2 linked regions of the Caenorhabditis elegans genome follow. The protein of the gene in region 2 purifies or fractionates together with the protein of the main gene of each other region. This does not show direct contact. Each region holds a gene or a part of one and is shown on either strand. Other genes may lie near its edges. The genes, in order: csr-1 and znfx-1.

Region 1 (3,600 bases), on a different chromosome or scaffold from region 2:
GTCACAATATCCAAATAAGCGTAGAATCTTGGATCACTCCATTCGTTAAGCTCCGTCTGAACGAATGACGGTTTCTCGAGATCCGGTTCACAAGAGATCTCCAAATCGCCGCTGAGGAACGAGATGGAATCCTTCAGAAAATTGGAAAGTTCCGGGATTTCGAGAGCATCTTCTTTCTTGATATCGACCATCTATAAACCCAAATACAAGAAAGAAAAAAAAATGAAATCATACCAAGCTGATTCCCTCCAAAGTGAATAAAGACTGTGCACCGTCGTACGCGAATGCAGGAAGATTCTGCTGACCCTTCTTCGCGGCCCACTGTTTGAGTAGGATGTCAAGAAGAATAAAGTTATCTTTTTGCTTTGTTGCACGGTTTCCACGTCCTCTGAAATAAAAGTGTAAATTTTAAACGAACAGTACACTCACCTGGCACTCATTGTTGTAAGAATATACTCCTTATTGTGCTGACGATCGATGAGCTTCATTTGCACAACATGCCGGAAAATCGTTCGCTCAGAGAGCTCAAGCCCGAAGATGTTCAGGGCAAGTCTTGGATTTTGCTTCTGATTCATGTCAGAGTTAAGTCCTGAAAAAAGTATAGTTCAAATTATTATTTAAAAAATAAAAGCAATGATATCAAAATTCAAAATAAGAACGGGAAAGAAACGATCAACTAAACGCAGAGAAAGGCCTAAATTTCAAGTTTTTGGGAATGCGAAAATTCTAGAAGATTGTGATCACACCTGACGCGAAGTCGCACACTTTTCATCTACCGTATCCATGTGAGAGAGCGCGCACCACCCTTTGTTCAATGTTTTGATCAGATGAAACAATTTTTAAATATGCTAAAAAAAGAAAATATGTTGATTTCGTTAGCTTTTATTGATTTCATAACTATTCAGTCTTCTATTTTATCAAATTACTGATTTCTCAAAATTGTTTGTTATGTGCCTCCGCATTGGTATTTCTTTGTTGGTGGGAAGATTTTTTTTAAATCTCGAAAAACAATTTCCCGCCCGAGATCGAAATTATTTCGGTTCGTTCCCCGAAAAATCACAGGTGCGAGATCAAAAATTAATTTAAAAATCAGTCGCTATTTAAATACAAAATAATACTCAAATAATACTCACCTTTAAGCTTTGGCTCTGCTGAATTTTCCAAGATCAATCCATTATATTTAGGATCCACGGTAGTGGTTTGGGTCGATCCACCTCTGCCGCTCCCGCCAGTTCTCCCGCGATAGTTTCCGCCATTTGCTCCCCGATTGTACCCTCCAAAACGATTTTCTGCTTTTGATTCTTCATCATCACGTCTTCTGTCGTAACCTCCTCGTCCACCTCTGAATGATCCGCGGTTGCCTCTCGATCCTTCCTGACCATCTCGATGCGAGCCACGATAACTTCCAGTTGGCGTCTTCTCATAGTTGAAATCATGACGGTCTCCTCCTTCATACTTTACCTTGCCTTGATACGTTACATGGGTTTCTCTCGTTTCTAAATCCGGACGATACGAGTCTCCGTATCCTCCACGTCCTCTACCACGTCCACTACCTCCACGAGAACCACCACGGCTTCCACGGCCACGACCGACATTATCCGACTGCATTCTAACCTGAAAATATTGATAAATTAATCAAGAAATGTAATATTATTATTTTTGTGAAATTTTGAGGATGACAGTTGTTTATTATCCGCAAATTTTGAGGTACACAAATATCGAAAGCTGATTTCAATTGATTGAGAGAAAAAAGAAGGATTTTCGAAAAAAGAAAAAAACTTTTGAAGACCTATTTATTCAGATTTGGAAAACAGTTAAGTCAAATTTAAAACCTTAAAAGCATCACACAAACCTTCAAAGTATAAGAACTCTAACAATTCTTGCGAAAAACAGGAAAGTCTCGCTTCAATTTTGGAGCTAAAACGATAGAATAAACTAAACTTGAAACCTGACAAAACACCACGTATGCTGACCTTGAAAAACGTGGCTTTTTGGCCGTTTACCGTGACAAAGGTCAACACTTTTTTAATATATTTTACGCGTGGTGAAAGTTATCACAATTATTACTGGAGCACTAAATCCTGAGAATGAGTACTGTAGCAATAAATACTGTAGCATACAATTTTTAAACTAAAATTGAATCAAGGCTAAAAATAATTTTGAAAACAGAATTTCCAAAATATGTTTTTAAAGGATATTCTTACCGAACACTCGAAAATATGAATACAATGAAAATAAAAATTCAAATCTTATTCATGAAATTATCAGAGAAAGAGGAAAATAAATAAAAGCTCTTTGTTCCCATAAACATTGGAAAACCAATAAAAATGGGGTGAAATGGCATGATCACGTCTGCAATAAAGATGATTCATAACTGTTTATGCATCAAAAAAAAATGTTTGATTTTGGAAAATGTATCTAGTTATTTGGAACTAGGACGATAACCGTAATCAGAGATACAAAAGTTTGAACATTCATACCGATAATTAGTGATTAGCGGTATTTTGAAAAATGTAGATAATTCAACTAGAACAATGCACTATTTAAATTTGTATCAAGAAAGTTTCTAGTTCTTGAATTAAAGACAAAAATTCAAAATAAAAAATCTGCTTACACAATTGATTTGATAAAATTTTGTTAACAGCAAACATGTAGACAATAAAATATTTTGTCTGTTAAAATGTGTTTTTGATTTATGAGTTGGAGTCCCGTTAACGTAATCATTTCATGTAAAAATACAGTTCATTACTATATTAATAAAAGTAAAAAGTTTTAGACTTGTTTAAATTTGCGAAAACCTTCAACTGTCCGTTCCCAAAAATAATCCACAGTTTCATAATTCTCCTGGAGAATGCCTTGTGTGCTCAAAAATATTCATATTTCTATGAAAAAAGTGATAACAAAGAACCGAAAATTCAAAATCTCACGATAAACGATAACAAATCGTGGAAAAAACACTATTATTTTGACAATTTTCCAATATTTTCAATGCTCACTTTCCCATTTGTTAATTACTTTTTTTGGGGTTACTGTAGCCGAGCTATATAGCTGAATTTTCTTAGGAAGGTTTTCTCTGATTTTCTCAAAAGAATCTAATTTCAATTCCATTAATAATCTCAATTACCTTGCCTCAACAAAAATACTCAAATTTCAGTGTTTGTCATAGAATGATTACAAGCATGGGCGGTTGAAGAAAGAGTGTATTGGTGGAGAGAGACTCAGAGCTCACCTGTCGCATAACTTTCCCACGGGTTCCTAATATAAATCAAAACCTGAAGCCGAAAAGGCTCTCATTCTCAATCTAATTCCTAATCGTCATATATATTGGCAACTTCTCAACTCTACATTTTCTTAAAGTCTTTTAAATAAAAACTATTGAAAAATGGCTTTCAATATTGAAAGTTTACTGGAGAAAAAATCTAATCCAGTTGAAGAAGGTAATGATTTTGAGGAAGAAAACGACAGCGAAAAAAACGGTGAAGAAGACGAAGAGGAAGAAGAAAAAAATGTAATTGATGGTTGGACAAATATGGCAACAAGCCAATTGGCAATGTTTGCTATTGCAAATGATCTGAGAACACCAACTCTTGTTGAGTTACA
Region 2 (4,143 bases):
AGCTTTCCAGGAATTTACTTTTGAGCTTCAGTAGAAAATCCTTTTCGAACAATCCGCGAATAATTGCTTTACTGTGATCCCGAACAATACTTTTTCGAGAACTGATAGCATAATTGACAACGTAGAGAAGTTCTAGATTGTGAGCTAGTTTTACAAACGGACGTTCGAACCGTACGTATAGTTTTGATCCGTTGATGAGCTTGGACTGAAAATTAAAATTTTAATATTAATTTCGTGTTTATTGAAGATTAGTTTTCCGGAAATTGCCGAAATAACTCACAGGTTGCAGTTTATCACAAAAATGAATAGATCTTACCAACTCAGAATCGTTCTTTTGCGGAACTCCTCTAACAAGGATTTTGGTTTCACACACGTTCCGCGCAGCATGTACATCTTCAGACGATAGAATATGATCTCCTTCTTCTTCCTGAACTTCTTCATCGCGGAATCGACGCCTCGAAGATGAACTATTCTCGCTCATTCTCGAAATGGTACTATGAGCTTGCTCGAATTGATCATTCTGATGATTTTGAAGAGATATTCCTGGTGGAGTTGGAAGAGATATTCCAGGTGGTGCTGGAATTGACAATCCGGGTGGTTGAGGGGTGGAATAACGGGATTCGCGTGTATCTGCTCGGGGAATTGGCGAAACTGAAGATAATCCAGGAGGCGAACTGTTTGAAATCGAAATTCCAGGCGGCGGGAGCCCTGGGGGGGCGAGGTTTCTGACCATTGAATACGGTTGGCGAATTGGTCTGAAACAAGATAATTTAATTATACATTATGAGAGAACGCGGAGAGCTCTAGCATTTTAAGAAAAAGTATTTTCTAACGAAATCAGTATGCCCACAAAAATCCGCGTTTACTACAGTGAAAAGGAACGCGGCCAGGTTTCTGGGGAAAGATGGGAACACGATAAATGTGGTTTTTTTTCCGCTACCACGATTCACGTTGTTTATGAAACGAGAATAAAAACAAAAGCCACTGCGATTATCAATGATTTAACAAAGGTCACCAATTCTATTATATATTTTTAAAAGCAATATCAGGAATTCAGGAAAAATTATTGATGTTATTGAGAAAAACAATCGAAAATTTTGAAATAATTATTCGTTAAATCCTGCGAGTCAAGGGAATATTTCAGTATTTCCAAACACACTGTTTAACAAATTCTGATGTGAAAACATGCTTATTCAGATTATTTTTTTCGAATTTGTGAAAAAAAAGCATATCAATCACAGGGGAAGCAACTAGTCACGGTTTTTCTGTTTTTCTCTACGTCTCGAACTGTCTATCTATGTTGGACGTGTGGAAAAAGAAAGAAATAGCTAGGCCATAAGTCTAATATGAACGAAGAGATATTGCAAAATTTTTGAATAGAAAGTTTACAACATGGTAACGATACCTTGTTTCGCGTTGATCTTGTGCGATCTGCTTGTGAGGGGCGTCTTCAACAAAGTCTTCGGTCGATACAATCGAACTCTTTCCAAAGATGAATTCTCTATGAAAGTTAGATGTTTTTTAATTATTTTTTCCTTCTAGATAGCCTACTCTGTTTCTACCTCCATGGGCATCGCGATGGATTCCGTCAGATTTTCCACTCCTTTGATGAACTGTGCAAATTTAGAGCAGTCACTTCTGAAATATGAATTTTTTCGACGTTATGCTGAACATTTACTCACTCCAGTTCTTCATACTCCATTTCGTTGATCCAGTTGAGAATTTCGTTGCGTTTCATATGGAAGATATAACAAGACTCCCTAAACATATCCAGCATGTTTTGGACTTCGTCTTCGTCTGTATGAGTGAATATTTATACACGTTATGTATAATTTACTTTTCTTACCGCACTGGTCTAAAATGAAAAAAACAACCGGAGTCGACAGCGGTCCTTTTTCATAGATCGTTTCACACTTCTGCAGACCTTCCTCGATGAGCTTTTTCAGAAGAAGATAATCTTCCCTGACTTCTTGATATTGCAGGAATTCCCGTTCATCATCGAGAAGAATACCTACTTCTATCATCGAAGTGTGACACCTTTTCACGAATTTCCTGAAACAATACGTTTTTTCAATAATTTTTGAATAATTTGAACGTACATGAAGTGCTCTGATGAGAACTCGCTTGTCGGATAGCCGATTCTGAAGCACATCCACGGACGCCGGCGCTGTCCGCGGAACGGGTCTTCGTCGAACTTCAACGAACCCATTTCGTAGGGCAACCGACGTCCGCCAACCTCACGTTGAGGTGGTTTATCTCTGGACATTAGCTTGTCAGATAGATGGATTGGTTGGTTTGAAGTATTTATCTGTAAAAGAAATAATTACATCAAATAAAATGGCCATATTCAAGATTTTGCGAGAGTATTGGAGTTTTTTGTTAAATTTTCAAGCAAGACTTTGTATTTCGTGAAAAATGTGATTAGTGAAGCATTGCCTCACGGAATCAGAACGAAATTAAAACTGGTAACGGAGTTTTTTGGCCTAAAAACCGAAACCGTCAAATCCTAAAATTTTAAACAAAGAAACATGTGAATTTCTTGAAGATTTCATCAAAAATACTTCTGTAATAGTGAAAATGCGTTGCCCAGTGATTTTTAATACAAATTTTGAAGAGAAAAATGGAGTTTTAACATCAAAAATACGAAAACTGAACAGATAAATAACTGAATAAAAAAAAATTTCCGCGCCAATACTTCCAAGGGTACTGTAGTTTTTTATATTTCGTGCCGAGACCATCTCCTCGTATTCAGTGGACGCTCCTTTAAAAATTGATTGCTTTTTACCATTTAATAAGGCAATAAAAACAACGCTTTTAATCGAATAACTTGAAACACAATTTTTTTAAACTTGAAAATAAAAAAAAATCAGAAAAATTATTTATTTCAAGCACCAACGTTTAACAATTCTTAAAATTGGTCCGCATGTGAAAAAATACCCGATTTTATGGATGTTCTGGATCATCGTTATTATTGTTGTTTGAATTATTGTTATTATTGTTACTAGAACTACTTTTCAAAGTTAGCGACTTCAAATCCTTCGAGCTCGAGTGAGAAATTGAAGCCAATCGTGAAGATATTGATCGTCGTAGGCGTTCATATAATGGAGCACACATTCTGAGAGCAACCTGAGAAATAAATTGTCATTTCCATTATAAATTGAAAACCGACCTCATATGGTGGAGGTGGTTCATCTGGTTCAATGAGTAGTTGTGAATCATCAGGATTTCCAATTTCTCTGTAACCATTGGACCAAGCAGAAATACCACCTATCGATAACGAACGTAACGGCAAATTCCGCCGACTCGATGGAATAGCACGATTTGCTCTACTTCCGTTTTCTAAACAACTCAGATTCTCAGCTGATTCTTCGAGATTTCCTTGAGCAGCAAATGTCATACTTCGGCTAACTCTAAGAGGTCTCGGCGTTGCTGTAATGGGCTCAGATAGTGAATTGTCGGTTTCTGTTGCTCCATAGTTCCGAAGTACGATATGTTCGTTAGTTGTACTCACGAATGGTCGTGGAAGAATCACAGGGTCCAGGCATCGAATATTTGGATAATTGGTCTACAATATTATCAGAGCGATTAATAAATATTTATCAGGAGCAAATGATCTTAAAATTTTAATATTTAAAAAAAACCTTACATTTGAATTAGCAATCGTATTTTGCATGAGCATAACTTCACTGTACGATGGTACAACGAAATGTTGTTCTCTCCTCAACAATGCCTCCAACTCAACAGTATCCATAGTTGATGTTCTGGTTAATGGCCCCGTGTAGTTGACCGAATTCGGACTGGAAAATGTATTTGAAAAATAAATACTTATACTACTTTTCTATCTTTTTTTGCTGTAGCTAATCTTTTCTTCCTGCCAAATGCCTAATGATTGATGGAACTCAACGTTTTTGAGCCACATCCCTTTATTGAAGAAAATTCGAAAACACTATTTTTGTGGCTATTTTAGGCAACTTCTTGTAGAAATATAAATTTTATACACTTCGCATATGAAAATGCTCTATATGACTGACACTTTCTGTTCCCGCCAGGTCTTTTCTCTCAACAGAGGAAAACGGCGTGCAGTCGATAGCTCAGTTGGTAGAGCGGAGGACTGTAGAGTCAGTGGTTATCCTTAGGTCGCTG

Evidence for each region.
Region 1: the proteins of znfx-1 (region 2) and csr-1 purify together in Caenorhabditis elegans (affinity purification with western blotting, with the first as the bait; one study listed by BioGRID). This does not show direct contact.

What each region holds. Positions count from the first base shown.
Region 1 is NC_003282.8:7,955,588-7,959,187, reverse strand, and holds the start of csr-1 (Piwi domain-containing protein), read right to left. Parts: upstream 1,922-3,600; 5' UTR 1,853-1,921; intron 1,615-1,852; 5' UTR 1,609-1,614; coding exon 1,134-1,608; intron 590-1,133; coding exon 430-589; intron 389-429; coding exon 235-388; intron 192-234; coding exon 1-191. Other genes in the region: Homeobox protein ceh-19, read left to right, coding at 3,383-3,600.
Region 2 is NC_003280.10:9,211,825-9,215,967, reverse strand, and holds the start of znfx-1 (NFX1-type zinc finger-containing protein 1 homolog), read right to left. Parts: upstream 2,267-4,143; coding exon 2,100-2,266; intron 2,053-2,099; coding exon 1,847-2,052; intron 1,798-1,846; coding exon 1,683-1,797; intron 1,639-1,682; coding exon 1,552-1,638; intron 1,502-1,551; coding exon 1,406-1,501; intron 756-1,405; coding exon 317-755; intron 206-316; coding exon 1-205. Other genes in the region: ZK1067.4 (Transmembrane protein 151 homolog), read right to left, coding at 2,944-3,126, 3,170-3,565, 3,647-3,797. UniProt on the Caenorhabditis elegans protein: Epigenetic inheritance factor which, in association with the Argonaute protein wago-4, mediates small RNA-directed transgenerational epigenetic inheritance and thus balances the transgenerational inheritance of epigenetic information.